Linked DNA regions of Arabidopsis thaliana. The protein of the gene in region 1 interacts with the protein of each later gene in a pairwise test. Each region holds a gene or a part of one and is shown in the gene's direction. Other genes may lie near its edges.

Region 1 (6,191 bases):
ATCATCCTTACACCTCTTGGATTCCAATAACGTAGTCCACTTTACCTGCAAATCTCTATACAACCACTCTTCTAAGAACCAGTCCTTACTTGTGTACCTCGTTTTGCTTTTCTTTCAGTGTTTATATCTGTCTCCGGAACATCACCCAGTCTTTCCGCGGCTACAGTTTGACCCTTCTGGCGTAAGTAAAAAATAATTCAGTCAATAGATATGTTTATCCTCTTATAACGATTTTTTCAAGAAAAATTTGTTCATGAACTTTCAGGTGGCTTGGAAAGATAACACTGGAGACATATATCTCCCAGTTTCATATATGGCTCAGGTATGTCACACTTTTCTTGCCCAAGTTCTCAATTGTAGAGTAAGTGGGAAATTGATGGTGGAGCATGCTAATACAATAAGCTATTAAGATTTTTCCTGACCCATTGAACTATGAAATAATCTAATTCACCCACAGATCTGGAGTTCCTGATGGTCAACCCAAATTACTACTATCTCTTGTCCCGGATTACCCATTGTTGAACTTCATGCTCACTACTTCGATTTACGTCGCTGTAAGCAAACCCTGCTACAACAGATAGAAACAAGTTGAAAGCCAGACAGATACAAACAAACTGATTGGCTTTTTGTTGCTCTGTTTTCAGATCTCTTATAGGCTCTTTGAGCTTACCAACACTTTGAAAACAGCCTTCATACCAACCAAGGACGACAAACGCCTTGTCTACAACACGATCTCAGCACTCATAATCTGCACTTGTCTCTACTTTTTCTCATTTATTCTTATCACAATTCCCCAAAAACTGGTAAGTCAAAATTTTATCTTTTTGTGTGGGAGAAAGCTTTTTTTTCCCTGGTACTTGAGTTCATTGATATGTTAGTGCATACACAAAGCGAGGACGAATGTCATCCTCTCATATTCGATTGAACCATCTCACGTTTTATTATTTCACTGGAAACAAACAGGTGTGAAGCACTTCTGAACCGGACCAGAGTGGACTATTCGAATGAATTCATAGGAGTTGAACTACGCGATATGGTAGATATACGAAGATAGAAATCAGAGGTAGATGCATACAATGTTGCTGTAATGTCATCTTTCTGTATATTTATTTATGAATAAGGTGTTCTTTCTTGTTTATTTGTGTTTCTGTTCACGATGATGTTAAGACTTATTATTGTCTATTACAAGTTAAAGGAAATCCATATGAGTAATTGTATAGCTATAAAATCCAGATTAATCTTACATCAAAGTAAAATATGATGGACTTGCAAAAGCCATTACTTTAATGTAAGGAAACATTGATATACTTAGATAGAAAGTGTAGTCATAGCATGTGTGTCAAGCTTGTCCTCTATTGCTCGGTAGGCAGAGAAAGTGTCCGAGTCTTCCCATTTGGAGAAATTATACGCGGGCCCAAAGGAAAGCAAAAAATGAGGTACTGATATTAAAAACAATAACAGTACCTTATAGTCACCCCGGTATAGATTGTTAGACATGCTAAAGAGACAAGATAACCAACCGAGGAAGAGCGTGTACAAAGCATGTCCGATCTCCATCCTAAACTTATCCGATAGCTGAATCAGCCCTAACCCTCCGGTGAACAACGAGATGGTGAATAACGACATGGACAATTCAAACTCTTTGTTTGTCAATAGCTCATATATTAAGGGCAATGCCAACGCTAAATTTGCGGAAAATGTCGAAAACAAAACCTGAGGTACTCTCTCCAACTTTGTAGTAAACTCCTTGTAGCAAGCGGAAGGAGGAGCGGTGAAAAAAAGATATCTGAGTAGCGTCACTGCGTAGAATGTTGTGACACTGACCGCACCGTCCCTAAAGGACTGAGACGATGAATCTCCAGGTGGCCAGAGAAGATTGAGTGATTTGGAGAGGCCAAAAAGTGAGAGTAGAGTCATTATATACCATATTCCTCTGCAAACAAACACATCCATATCACTAATCTTCTTCTCCATCGTGTGTGTGTTTTTACTAGGACTATGGGGTTTCGGAGATTTAATAGTCGTCGTGAATTCGTTTTTCGATTTCTTTTATTTAGTTAGTTAAATCTGCTTTTATCCAGAAGAATGTGGTATATCTCTATTATTAGTTAAAAGTGGTTAGAAGATTTTCATAATCACAACAAACAAAAGAAATCTTCGCAATCTTTATCTAACACTTTTTTTTTTCAAGATATATAAAATTCTTTTATATTCAACAAAGAAAATAGTTCAAAAAATCACATTATAAGTGGACCACTGACCAGTAAAGTGAACGAAGAAAGTATAAACTCTATTTTCTTCAATTAAACCGTTTATATAAAAAAAAAAATCATATTTTAAGTTTCTAACATAAGAAAAACAGTAGACCCTATAGTCTATGCGTTGATTAAGAAGATGGGCCATGTTGGGCCGATTCACACTTACCTCTTTTATTCATTTACATCTTAGGCCCATTACGTTTGTATATGTAATGTAAGAAGAAACTTCTTCTTCTCTTGAACCTCTTCCTCGATTCTCCTCACTCATCTCAACATCTTCCCAGATTATTCAACGCTCGTGTATCGATCAAGCTACTGAAGTCACGTTGGTTCGACTTTTGATACACAAATCTGTTCGAGCCACCATGATCGACATCCCTCCTTACCCGCCGCTTGATCCTTCCAACTACGATCTCATTGTCGTCGGCACCGGAGTCTCTGAGTCCGTCTTAGCCGCCGCTGCTTCCTCCTCCGGTAGTTCTGTTCTCCACCTCGACCCTAACCCCTTCTACGGCTCTCACTTCGCCTCTCTTTCCCTTCCCGATCTCACTTCTTTCCTTCACTCAAACTCCGTTTCTCCTCCTCCGTCGCCGTCATCTCCTCCTCTCCCTCCGTCAAACAACCATGATTTTATCTCCGTGGATCTCGTTAACCGATCCTTGTATTCCTCCGTGGAGATTTCGAGCTTCGAATCGGAGATCCTCGAAGAACACTCTAGAAGATTCAACGTTGACTTGGCTGGTCCTAGGGTTGTCTTCTGTGCCGATGAATCAATTAATCTCATGCTGAAATCAGGAGCTAACAACTACGTTGAGTTCAAGAGCATCGATGCCAGCTTCGTTGGGGATTCGAGCGGTGAGCTACGAAATGTGCCGGATTCGAGAGCTGCTATATTCAAGGACAAGAGCTTGACTCTGTTGGAGAAGAATCAGCTCATGAAATTCTTCAAGCTTGTTCAAAGTCACTTGGCTTCTTCTACCGAAAAAGATGATTCAACAACAGTCAAGATATCGGAGGAAGATATGGAGAGTCCATTTGTGGACTTCTTGTCAAAGATGCGTTTACCACCCAAAATCAAATCGTATAACCTCCTTCTCTGTTAATGGCAGCTCTTTGGACATTTGTCTCTGCTTAATGCTTCTTAGAATTTTGTCTCTGAAATGTTGATAGGTAAGGCTTTGTTTCCTCTTCTTCTGTGTAGGATCATCTTGTATGCCATTGCGATGCTAGATTATGATCAAGACAATACGGAAACTTGTAGACATTTACTCAAGACCAAAGAGGGGATAGATCGATTGGCTCTATACATCACATCTATGGGCAGGTCATTCATCATTTTCTCATTCCTGGCTCTTACACATTTGTGATCATCTTTCTTATTGGTTTACATTATCATTGGTTATATTGAGTATAATTTAGCTTTTGATTCTCTACCTTAGGTTTTCTAACGCACTTGGGGCGTTGATATACCCAATTTATGGACAAGGAGAACTTCCACAAGCCTTTTGTCGTCGGGCTGCTGTCAAAGGATGTATCTATGTACGTTTGGAACAATTTTCTGCATTGTGTACTGTGTTGCTGTTGTGGTATTTGTTACTTATTTAGTCTTTCATTGTTTTCACAGGTTCTCCGGATGCCTATTACTGCTCTGCTTTTAGACAAGGCAAGTTAGCTGACAGTTGTAGCATAAGATAAGTTTAGTTGACGGAAAGGATTCTTACTTGATTATTTTAAACTCTTTTTGCAGGAAACTGGGGGTTACAAAGGGGTTAGATTAGCTTCTGGTCAAGAGATATTCAGCCAAAAGTTGATTCTGGATCCATGTGTTACTGTTGGATTAGAGTCTCTGTCGTCATTGACAGATCAGCAAAATGAAACTCTCAGTGTTCTTGTCCCAAAGTCGATGATCAATAAGGAGAAAATTGCAAGAGGAGTATGCGTCATTAGAGGTTCTGTGAAAGCTAATGTATCAAACGCTCTTGTCGTTTATCCACCTAAATGTAAGCTAATTTTTGAAGACCCACTAGTTAGTTGTTTCACTTACATGTATATCGTCTTTTGCGTTTTGAAGGTTCTAACATTAATAGTTTTTTCCTCTTAGCTTTGTTTCCAGAACAGCTAACTGCAATTCGGGTTCTGCAGCTTGGTAGTGGTTTAGCGGTTTGTCCTGCTGACATGTAAGTTGTGGTTTAGCCTAAGATGATCTTTTCCCATTTTAGTTCTGTTTCTTTCCATTTGCTTAGCTTTAACTGTTCTCTAAGCCATATATATTTGCTGCTGCAGGCATGTTTTATATCTTTCAACTTTGTGCGACAATGATGACCAAGGGATAAAGGCGCTATTATCAGCCATGAGTAATCTCATCAGTTTGCCTGTTCCCGAGAATCGTCAAAGCGATTCCGTTGTTGAGAATGATACTTCTGAGACAAAACCTATTCTACTCTGGAGAGCACTGTACGTGCAAGAGCTAGTCAAGGTGGAAAATGTGATTGGGAATTTACCTTTTCATTTCGACGTTGGTAATGTCATTTTCACTAAATAAAAGTTTGATTTGGATCAGGGTGAATTTGGAGGTACGATCAGTTCCATGCCTAGTCCAGATGGAAACTTGAACTACAATGAGATAGTGGAATCAGCCGTGAAGGTTAGTAGAAGCTCCTTACAGCAGTTATCTCATTAAGTTATGGTTTTGATAATGTTATCATATTGGATTTGGTAGCTATATGAAAAGCTCATGGGGAGTGAAGAATTATTTAAAGAAGAGACCTCACCGGCGGAGAACACAACGGAGGAGGAAAACGATGGTGGTGTTGAAATAGAAGATTGATTGATGAATGAAACCATTGGTTTTAAAGACTTAGAATACCCATTTATTTATTTGATTGTAACATATAGTTACCCCGTTATTAGAGGGGAAGCAGGAAGATTGGCAGAGGGAGGGTGAGCCATTTTCTTTACTTATTCACTAGAGAGCAACTATGATTAGGGAAGAAATAAAGGATTGAGAAGAAGTGATTAATCCACGACCGCTTGTCTAACCATTGAAACTCCACAAACTTTAAATCAACGACTAAAAAGAAATAATGAATTTGTATAGAAATTAATTTATTCAGACATCTTTTACCGATCACAACCATAATCGTTCTATGTTTCTCTTTGAATAAACACTTCCGATTTCGTATATTTCGACTCCAATTCTGATTTTCATGGCCAAGTCCAGAAACTTAAAAAATCAAGGAAGATATCATTATCGACTAGGAAATTTGACTTTGAAGTCAAGATTAAGAATTTGAATGCTTTTTTCGAGATCGTTGGGTTAATGTTATCATATGTAATGTGGTGCCAAGCTCTCATTATGAGGCCCAATTATGAGGGTTTGGTTATTCTCTGGAGAGAATCGTCAATCGTTTATCCAATCCCAAAGGTTGACACTTGACAGAATTTAAAGCCCATTGGGTCTGAATTAGCGTCGGAATTGGACCCGAAATAATTCTATCAATTAAAGATTAAAACAGAACTACACGCGTGTAGGAATTTAAAATACAAAACCACTCGCATCACAGGCGCGTTTCGGCGCGTGAGACTATAATCCGTGGACTATAACCCTCCTTTTCGGGGATTTTTGCATAAATTTAAAATTGAAAAGACTTGCAGCGCGTGGGACGAGATTTCATTTGTTGTATAACTTATTGTTCACGACTAGTTTTTTTTTTTTTTTTTTTGCCTAAAGGTCTTTCTATTGACTTTTTATCATAAAATGGAACATTACAAAATAGGTCAAGCCCAACTAGATGATTACAAAATTTTAAAACTGAAACTAAAAAGGCCCAACCCCAATAAAGGGATACCAAACCCAACTTGAAGAGAGGCATGAAAGCTAAAAGGATTAGACCAAAAGCCCAAACCACTATAGTTTATTTACATGAGAATATA
Region 2 (4,299 bases), on another chromosome or scaffold:
TTAGGTAGGTGGTGGTCATTGTAGGGAAAACACTTGAGAGGGGAGTAGGTCCATTAGGACATGTGCATAAGTTATAAAATCTCATACAAATCATACACGGGAAAGTTTGGTTGGGCGGTTGGGAGAGTTTGGGATTGTCTGTGGGTTGGTGTATGACTCCACCATGTTCCCCTAATCATTTTTCCTTTTATTATTTCATGATTTCTTACTTGTATTTTCTGTTTTTTTTTTCATCGATCGACTCAATTGTTTGACAAATTAGCTAGAAGTAGTTCATGGACATTTTTATTCAAATGCGGGTTTAGTCCTATATCTATAATGATGGCCCTAAGAGTGATAGGTTTGAACGTTTTAATAGATTTTTTCGATAGCAAGACTCTTTACACTTCGCCATTTTTAACATTTTTTCTTTGGCTATTTTGTAGAATCTTCTAGAACTCTTAAAATCTTGTAGGATGGTTTAGAGATTCTAAAGAAGTGCGGAAGAATTCAAATGATCATTAGCACTTTTCAGATTCTCCTAAATCATAAATCATAATTAACTTCGTATCAAACACATTTACTTTCAAAGATCCTAATCTAAGCCATGTTGATGGAACCATTGTGATGGTGCGACTTGGTTTCATGCATGTTATGATGTAATACGTTCTCGACACGTGAATTATGTCTGAATGACCACTGGTCAAAGTGTTTTTTATGTTGAATATGCGTATAGAATTTGGGGAAAACTGTTGAAAAATGGTTCCACCAACAAAACCTATTTTTAATCTCACATTGAAAGCCATACGTATCAATGGACGTCGATATCTAAATCTAAGCTCCAAAGAGCCGATCCGAAACCAACACATGGCTGAAGTGATCACCTGCTAAGATAGAAAAGATTAGTGTAGGAATCTCTTTAGTAAATGTCGAAGTTGAAGATTAAGTCACCATCAGTTGACAATGAACTCAGAGAACTCCAAGTATCATGAGACAATGACAATTAATGAAGAAATTGAAACTTGAAAGTTGGAACGGTTGACGTCGGTGGGATTAATGTCACATATGTGTAACATGGCAATAGAAAATACTAAAACTTAAAATGAATATTGAAAAGAAAGTCTCAATTAGTACGTATGTAAATTGTTCAATTGTGCATTATCAAGTTTACATTAGCTGAAATGACAACTAAATGAAATGGTGATGCGATCGTAGAAAAGATAAGTTATAGACAAATTTAGAGATTTAACATTTGCAAAGAATCACTTTTAACATACAAATTTTGTATTGTGGATTATCAAGGTAACATTATAATTGATTAGCTCAAACTTGTATTTAGGTATAGTAGGTTGCTGAGCTGGGATTACAATGAAACAGCTGTATTGAAAGACTTGGTAAGTGGTCCATTCTTAGTCTTTGAATCGAAGGCATGGTTCGATCGGAACTCGTCCTAACCGTATTTCGCATTACTATTTGTATGTAACAGAGTCTAATCTCTCTTAACTTAACAACACAAATCCCATAAAAATGGATAGAACTAGCAAAATAAAAATCAAAGAATTTTACTGAAGTTACTGAACTTTATGATTGTAATGATCAACAGTATCGTCTTTACACAAAAAAATATATGAAGAAGATGATACACAACACATTTCATTACACCATCTGATCCATCTCCATCTTCAAGTATAAACTCATTCTTATTTAGTTTACAACTATTTTTTGTCTTTTGGGAATCTTATAAATTATTTCGGGGTAATTAACGTCAATAAAATAACTTACACCTACCGATATAAGACTAAGGTGAAAAAGTATACGTTAAGAAAAGTGAAAAACTTTAACAAAAGAAAAAATTCAAATCAGAATCACTAACCCGGTAAAAATGTAAAACCGTTTCCCGGACCCAAATAAGGACCTGGATAACAACCCAGACCCGAAATTAAGTCGGATCCGGATCTCCTTGATTTATTTTTTAACATTTTTGTCTTTCCCCTGGAAATTTGAAACTCTCTCTTCTTTTTTTGTTCTTCTTCTCATTGGTTGATCGATACGCGCTAAATTTCTAGAAATCTCAGATCCATAAAATTTTCCGAGGAGAGATTCTCTAATCAGAGAACCTCACAATGGCCGCATATAGAGCCGACGACGAGTACGATTACCTCTTCAAAGTTGTGTTAATTGGAGACTCCGGCGTTGGAAAATCCAACCTCCTTTCTCGATTCACGCGCAACGAGTTCAGTCTCGAATCTAAATCCACGATCGGTGTAGAATTCGCCACTCGTAGCATCCATGTCGATGATAAGATCGTCAAAGCTCAGATTTGGGATACCGCTGGCCAAGAAAGGTATATATATATATATATATATATATATATATGTATGCCTCGATTTCAATTTTGAGAAATTTTCGTTTTCGATTGAATCTGAAGAAACATACATTGATTCCTGATACATTAGCTTGATTATTGAATGATCTACGTAATCGTGATTGATTTTTGGTTTTGAAGATATCGAGCAATCACAAGTGCATATTACAGAGGAGCTGTAGGAGCGTTGCTTGTGTACGATGTCACAAGACATGTGACGTTTGAGAACGTTGAAAGATGGTTAAAGGAGCTTCGAGATCATACAGATGCCAATATCGTCATCATGTTCGTTGGGAACAAAGCGGATCTCCGTCACCTACGAGCTGTTTCGACTGAAGACGCTAAGGCTTTCGCTGAGAGAGAGAACACTTTCTTCATGGAGACATCAGCTCTCGAATCGATGAACGTCGAGAATGCTTTCACTGAAGTACTTTCTCAGATTTACCGTGTGGTTAGCCGGAAAGCGTTGGATATAGGAGACGACCCGGCTGCTCTTCCCAAAGGACAGACCATCAATGTCGGATCGAAAGACGATGTCTCTGCGGTGAAAAAGGTTGGTTGCTGCTCAAATTGATGGTACGTTCGACTTTCAAGAATCGGTCTCACGGTCGATCTTGTTCATTTCTTTTTTGTTGTTATATGTGAAGATCTTGTTCATTTATTTGTATAATCACACACCTTAAACCATATTGAATACCACTGCGTTTCCATATCAAATGTATATCCCAAACAACCTTTGAGCTGAACCATAATGTTCTGCGTTTCTAAGGAACGGTACCGCCTATCCAAGTGTTACTTAAGGTGATCTTGAGACTAAACACAGAGCATGAGAAGCACCAATGGAAATTGAGATAACCTTGTGTGGTTGACACTCATCTTCTTCGGTTAAGAAATTGACTTCGACCGGAGTAGTTTGGATCTCAGGGAGACCTGGAACTCCTAGCTGGAAATCTTTAGCGTTTCCCCACATCCAGAGTTCACCCCCATCTGTCAAAAACCAATCCCATCCTTTTGGTTTTGTTTGAGTTATTTATCATGTCAAATGAACATATCTATAGCTAAATATACCTGTTATCGCTGCAGAAGAGGAACCTCCACTAGCGATGAAGACTATCTTTTTGTCAGCTAATGCTTCGATTTCAGTAGGAACTTTCTGGTTTCGCAGCGAGGAACTACCCAACTGGCCGTGGCCACCGTGGCCCCATGAGAGTACTTTACCTTCCTCTGTTTTCACATCAAGCAATTTTCAAGTCAACTTAGTAGAGACCGACAAGAAAAATTGTTCAGTTGGGAGAAGATTGTTTACCGGTTAAGGCAAGAGAATGATATCCACCGCACGCAATCTGGGTAATACGAACCCCTTCTAAACTGGGAACCGGCATTGGTTCCCAACCTCCCAAGTTATCACCGCGTCCGAGTTCATAATTGGAATTTGCTGATACAAAAAGATCCAATGAATTCTTTTTTACACCACCAAATGTAAAAACGAAGGCTTGAATTGGGTTTTACCTCCCCAGTTCCAGAGTTGTCCCTCTTTTGTAAGAGCCATTGTGAAAAAACCACCACATGAGACAGAGGCTACAGGAACTGTTAAAGCTTTGACCTTTGAAGGAACACTAAGCCCACCACCTTCGTTTGGTCCTCGGCCTGGCCCGAGTCCTAATCTACCATCTCCTTCTTCTCTTCCCCACATATAAAGCTCCCCTAAAACCAAAGAACAAGTCTTGCTCGATTAAGACACAGACCGAATACTAGTATATCAAACAATTGAAACAAAGAAGAAGAAGAACCGGTCTATATTTTAAGAAAAAGAGGGTAACTATAGACATATGATCCTCAGTGACAGCACAGTGGGGATGGTTTGTTGGAAAACTTCAATTAAGTTCTTTTCAAGTTGTACATACATATGAAAACATGTCTACAACTACAGAAATGTAGCAAGAAGAGAAAGCATG
Region 3 (4,955 bases), on another chromosome or scaffold:
GTTTGATTAATAAGTTGGCTATTTTTCAGCTTATGTTTAGCAAATTTGAGTATGATGGTAAGCTTAACCCTACATTCAAAGAAGGACCTTTCGAGCTTCCTTTATCTAGCATTCGAGCTTATATCCAAGACCCCGTCACTCCAAGGTCTGATCTAGTTTCTTGCTTTTTAGAAACCAAACTCTTCACTAAATGCTGAACTAGCATTTCGTTACTTATCGTTACAGGTTTGTTCACGTTGGCTCTGCGGGAGTTACTCGACCAGAGAGACCCGGTTTGGATCTAAGCAAACAACCTCCGGCCGTGAGATTAAACAAAGAGCTTGATTTCATTCTCACTTACAAGTTAAAGGTTTGTCTCTCTATACTCTCTGCTTCGCAGAAAATTGGAAAAGTCATTTTCAAAAGATTTTAAAGCTCTTACTTTTGAATGACTAGGGAGAGGATCTGATACGCGACAGCGGGATTCCATTTGCAATTGTACGGCCATGTGCTTTAACAGAAGAGCCTGCCGGAGCTGATCTCATTTTCGAACAAGGAGACAACATTACGGTATTTTCAATTTCGCTTCTCCTTGAAATCCAACAACTCTTTAAGTTAACTAACCTAACCAACTTTACCTTTATATAGGGGAAGGTATCAAGAGACGAAGTAGCGCGTATATGCATCGCTGCTTTAGAAAGCCCGTATGCTCTTAACAAGACCTTCGAGGTTTTTAAAGAATCATCAATTTTTCGATTTTTCCGGGTTGCTATTCAAAAAGTTAAATTTCTGAATTGGGCTGTTTTGTGTGTTGTTTGTTTGTTTCAGGTTAAAAGTACGGTTCCGTTTAGCGAGCCTTTCACGGTAGATCCTGAGAATCCTCCACCGGAGAAAGACTACAATGAGTATTTCAAGACTCTGAAAGATGGAATCACCGGTAAAGAAGCTTTAGAACAGAGCACTGTTGCAGTTTAAACCAGGTTTTATCTACTTTTGTAACTGTGTGTTGTCTCATCTTCGTTAAAAATCTTTCCAAAAGTAAAAACAACAACAAAAGAGTCGTGTAGAAACATGTTTGTATACTCCATATATCGTACATTGTAGATAAGATTTACAAAAGCTTATTGACGACAACAATAAAGATTGTACCTTTTGATCCGTGGAGGTTCTTCAACAAGATTCTGAAATTTCTCTGCCATTTCTCTGTCTGTGAGAATTTTGCCTTGTGGTGTAAGAAAAGCAGTCCGTTGAAACGGTGGAGACCAGATACCGCTTGTCTGGTAATCAAACTGAAACTCAGACACGTCAATGTACTTCTGAAGAAGTTTGTCTGAAACTGGTTTTGTAACATTCTGAGTTAAAACAGAGGAAGAAGATGAAGATGTAGGTGGAGTTTCAGACATTTTTTAAAGAAAAGAAAAAGTAAAGAATCTAAATTTTGATAGGAGGGTTTCATGAGGAAAAGGGTTGATGGAGACTTTTATGGTAATGACAAAATAATGGATTTTTTGGCTAATAATGGAGGATGAGTGGAGAGGAGCACAGAACATTTGTCTATGTTCCTTTTTCACTCTTTTTTTTGTTTCTTTTCTTAATGTACAGATGCGTTTTTGGATTACATATTACATAATACACAAATCATTGAACTCTTTTCACATGGCAGCAGATATGTGAGTTTTTGCTAACCTCAAAGAATTTAGACAATACACACAACTACTATGTGATTAGCCCATATGGGCTTCCATTTTAGTGTGTGTTGAAACCCATTGGGTATATACAGAATCCACTAACTAGAAGATAGAGCTAGAAATGTTTCATTTTTGTTAGATCATCATTGAGAGTGACTGAAATATCGCCGTTTACCAATGTAACATGACCACCACCACTACTTTTTGACCTTTTCAAGAAAATGAAAGCATGTAACATATACATACAAAAGTTTAACGAAATGTCGGATCTACCCCTGATCTTAGGGAGTGAATCCGGGGTAGTTTAGTACATGTATACAAAATATTTCACCCAGAATCTATCGGTGATCATGGTCCAGCTAGAAAGACACCAGTCTTACCCTAACTTTTTTCAAAGTCTGTGTCTTTCTGTAGAAATCTGAGGAATAAATATTTGAATCTAAAGAGAATAAAGAAGAAAGTAAAAAAGCAAAATCGAAGTTTTGTTCAATTTTCTGGGATCATAGAGCAATTTTCGTTTCTTTATTCGTTGAAAGTGTGAAGCTTTTTTGATTCAGTGAGAAGTGTTAATGGCGGGTTACAGAGCAGATGATGATTACGATTACCTATTCAAGGTGGTTCTGATCGGTGATTCAGGTGTTGGAAAGTCCAATTTGCTTTCTCGATTCACCAGGAACGAGTTTAGTCTCGAGTCTAAATCAACGATCGGGGTCGAGTTCGCGACTCGTAGCTTGAATGTTAATGAAAAAGTCATCAAAGCCCAGATTTGGGACACTGCTGGTCAAGAAAGGTTTAAGCTCCGTCTCTTTGATTTTGTCTTCATTTGTTCATTTCTCGATCTGTGTTTTAGGTATTGGCCTTCTGATGCATTGTGGAGTCAATACAATTTCATTAGATCTGTCTTAGTTAATGGAATCAGTTTATCGTAGAGAAAGCTTGAGAAATCAACCTAACCTGTGATCGTGTATATAATTACTGGAGGTGAAGTGTACATTGTATTTGTGTATAATGAGAGAACTCAACAATTATGCTTAAAGTTACCAGCTTTGTAGAAATTCTGTTGTTTTGCTGATTAGTTTGATCAACCAGTGGTTGATGATAATCTTCGGTATCGTATATGTTCATGGTGTTTCTATATGTTCGTTAATTCTGATGACGATATCGATTTCTTTAATGATCGTTTTCTACCATTGAAGCTGAAGAGCTTATTGCTTTGAAGTCTTTCTTGTCATTTCGGTTCTTATTATGTTCCTATCTTTCTAATTTAACAGAGTTTCAATGACTAAGTCGTTAACGGGTTTTTGTTTCTCCTCTTTTCGCTATTTTTAGATACCGAGCAATCACTAGTGCTTACTATCGAGGAGCTGTTGGGGCGCTTCTTGTTTACGACGTAACCCGACACTCAACATTCGAAAACGTTGAGAGATGGCTAAGGGAACTCCGTGACCACACTGACCCAAACATAGTTGTGATGCTTGTGGGAAACAAATCCGATCTTCGCCATCTTGTAGCAGTCCAAACCGAAGATGCAAAATCTTTTGCAGAGAATGAATCACTCTACTTCATGGAAACCTCAGCTCTTGAATCTACCAATGTTGAGAACGCGTTTTCTGAAGTACTCACTCAGATTTACCATGTTGTGAGCAAGAAAGCAATGGAGGCTGGTGAAGATTCCGGTAATGTTCCTTCGAAAGGAGAGAAGATCGATGTTGATGTTTCCGCAGTGAAGAAAACTGGTTGCTGCTCCAACTAAATGGTCTTATGTCCTAAAGCTGAAATCGGTTTTTAAATTTTACATTCAAATTTTGTTTTTGAAGATGTTTGCTTTTTTTTAGGAAAACAAACTATGTTATGCCTTTTGATTTGCTTGTTTGAAAATTGCTTAGCTTTGGTCTGATTCTGTACCGGTTAAGGGATTTTGTAATTTAACCGGTTCTGGTCTATGGTTTGTTTTTAATTCAATCCGCAAATATCTCTAAACCAATATTTATTGTGCTAATCCTTGAACACAACTAATTTTTGTTATACCAATTTAGAAAATTTTCGTCAAAAAAATAGAGATCACAATTCAGTTTCTAATAATAGAAACTTTTAATAACAGTTCATTTTTAGAATTTGCTTTTGTTTTCTCATTTGACTATTCTTGACTTTAATTTTAATTTTATCAAAATAATCCATGTAATCTTTTAAAATTTTCTTAAAACAAATCACGTCGTCAGTAACGCCGAAAGAATATTCCGTTACTAAGATGACGGGATCCACCGTTTCCCGCCAAGAAAACAGCCCTAAGAGACCAAACGACAGTAACGGCGAATTCAAACGTCTATTAGTTCCCGAAACCTCTCAGCCAGAGGAGGACGAGCTTCACGAATCGCCACCGGAGAATCAGATCCTGAACGTAGAAGAAGACAGAGACAAAACCTACGATTCAGTTCCGCCATTCTCATGGGCAAAGCTATGGAAATTCACCGGACCTGGATTTCTCATGAGCATCGCGTTTCTAGATCCAGGAAATATCGAAGGAGATTTACAAGCCGGAGCTGTGGCTGGTTACTCTCTCCTATGGCTTCTTCTATGGGCGACGCTAATGGGACTTCTGATGCAGCTTCTCTCTGCTCGTATCGGTGTCGCCACGGGTCGACATTTAGCGGAGATTTGTCGAAGTGAGTATCCTTCGTGGGCGCGAATCTTGCTTTGGTTCATGGCGGAGGTTGCTTTGATCGGAGCTGATATTCAAGAAGTCATCGGAAGCGCGATCGCTCTTCAGATTTTGACTCGAGGGTTTTTACCTATTTGGGTTGGTGTTATCATCACATCATTTGATTGGTAAGCAAAACTAGGTCTTTGGCTTAGAACGCCTTTAGGATCACCTGAGTTATTAAAAAACAAAATAGGTCTTTTTGCGGTGTTGTTTGTAACACAAGTTTTGATTTGTGTTGTTTGTGAAAAAACAGCTTCTTGATTTCGTATTTGGAGAAATGTGGAATGAGGAAATTAGAAGGTCTTTTCGCGGTTTTGATTGCGACAATGGCGCTTTCGTTCGCTTGGATGTTTAATGAAACTAAGCCAAGTGTTGAAGAACTATTCATAGGTAAGTTTGTAAGATTAAGCATTGTCTCTTATTTGATGTCATTTCTTGATTTGGTTTTATCTTGATGATGATTTTGAAAGGTATTATTATTCCGAAACTCGGATCAAAGACGATTAGAGAAGCTGTTGGAGTTGTGGGATGTGTAATAACGCCTCACAATGTGTTCTTGCATTCAGCTTTAGTGCAGTCTAGGAAGA

What was found. The genes of interacting proteins can lie anywhere in the genome.
Region 2: the proteins of REP (region 1) and RABA1f interact in a two-hybrid assay, tested with the Arabidopsis thaliana proteins (one large-scale study listed by BioGRID).
Region 3: the proteins of REP (region 1) and RABA1d interact in a two-hybrid assay, tested with the Arabidopsis thaliana proteins (one large-scale study listed by BioGRID).

Annotation. Positions count from the first base shown.
Region 1 is NC_003074.8:2,034,095-2,040,285, reverse strand, and holds REP (Rab escort protein), read left to right. Parts: upstream 1-2,494; 5' UTR 2,495-2,623; coding exon 2,624-3,339; intron 3,340-3,459; coding exon 3,460-3,582; intron 3,583-3,697; coding exon 3,698-3,797; intron 3,798-3,882; coding exon 3,883-3,921; intron 3,922-4,005; coding exon 4,006-4,258; intron 4,259-4,359; coding exon 4,360-4,435; intron 4,436-4,541; coding exon 4,542-4,734; intron 4,735-4,818; coding exon 4,819-4,902; intron 4,903-4,977; coding exon 4,978-5,085; 3' UTR 5,086-5,373; downstream 5,374-6,191. Other genes in the region: RWA2 (O-acetyltransferase family protein), read left to right, coding at 1-31, 119-181, 266-322, 458-554, 645-878; AT3G06545 (uncharacterized protein), read right to left, coding at 1,309-1,385, 1,476-1,974. UniProt on the Arabidopsis thaliana protein: Substrate-binding subunit of the Rab geranylgeranyltransferase (GGTase) complex. Binds unprenylated Rab proteins and presents the substrate peptide to the catalytic component composed of the alpha subunit RGTA and the beta subunit RGTB.
Region 2 is NC_003076.8:24,482,648-24,486,946, forward strand, and holds RABA1f (RAB GTPase homolog A1F), read left to right. Parts: upstream 1-1,850; 5' UTR 1,851-2,102; coding exon 2,103-2,323; intron 2,324-2,485; coding exon 2,486-2,918; 3' UTR 2,919-3,058; downstream 3,059-4,299. Other genes in the region: RUG3 (Regulator of chromosome condensation (RCC1) family protein), read right to left, coding at 3,141-3,352, 3,413-3,568, 3,651-3,779, 3,854-4,048. UniProt on the Arabidopsis thaliana protein: Intracellular vesicle trafficking and protein transport.
Region 3 is NC_003075.7:10,318,621-10,323,575, reverse strand, and holds RABA1d (RAB GTPase homolog A1D), read left to right. Parts: upstream 1-2,002; 5' UTR 2,003-2,236; coding exon 2,237-2,457; intron 2,458-2,996; coding exon 2,997-3,420; 3' UTR 3,421-3,714; downstream 3,715-4,955. Other genes in the region: AT4G18810 (NAD(P)-binding Rossmann-fold superfamily protein), read left to right, coding at 30-145, 226-349, 436-549, 628-708, 808-948, 1,215-1,313; NRAMP5 (NRAMP metal ion transporter family protein), read left to right, coding at 3,916-4,493, 4,622-4,758, 4,839-4,955.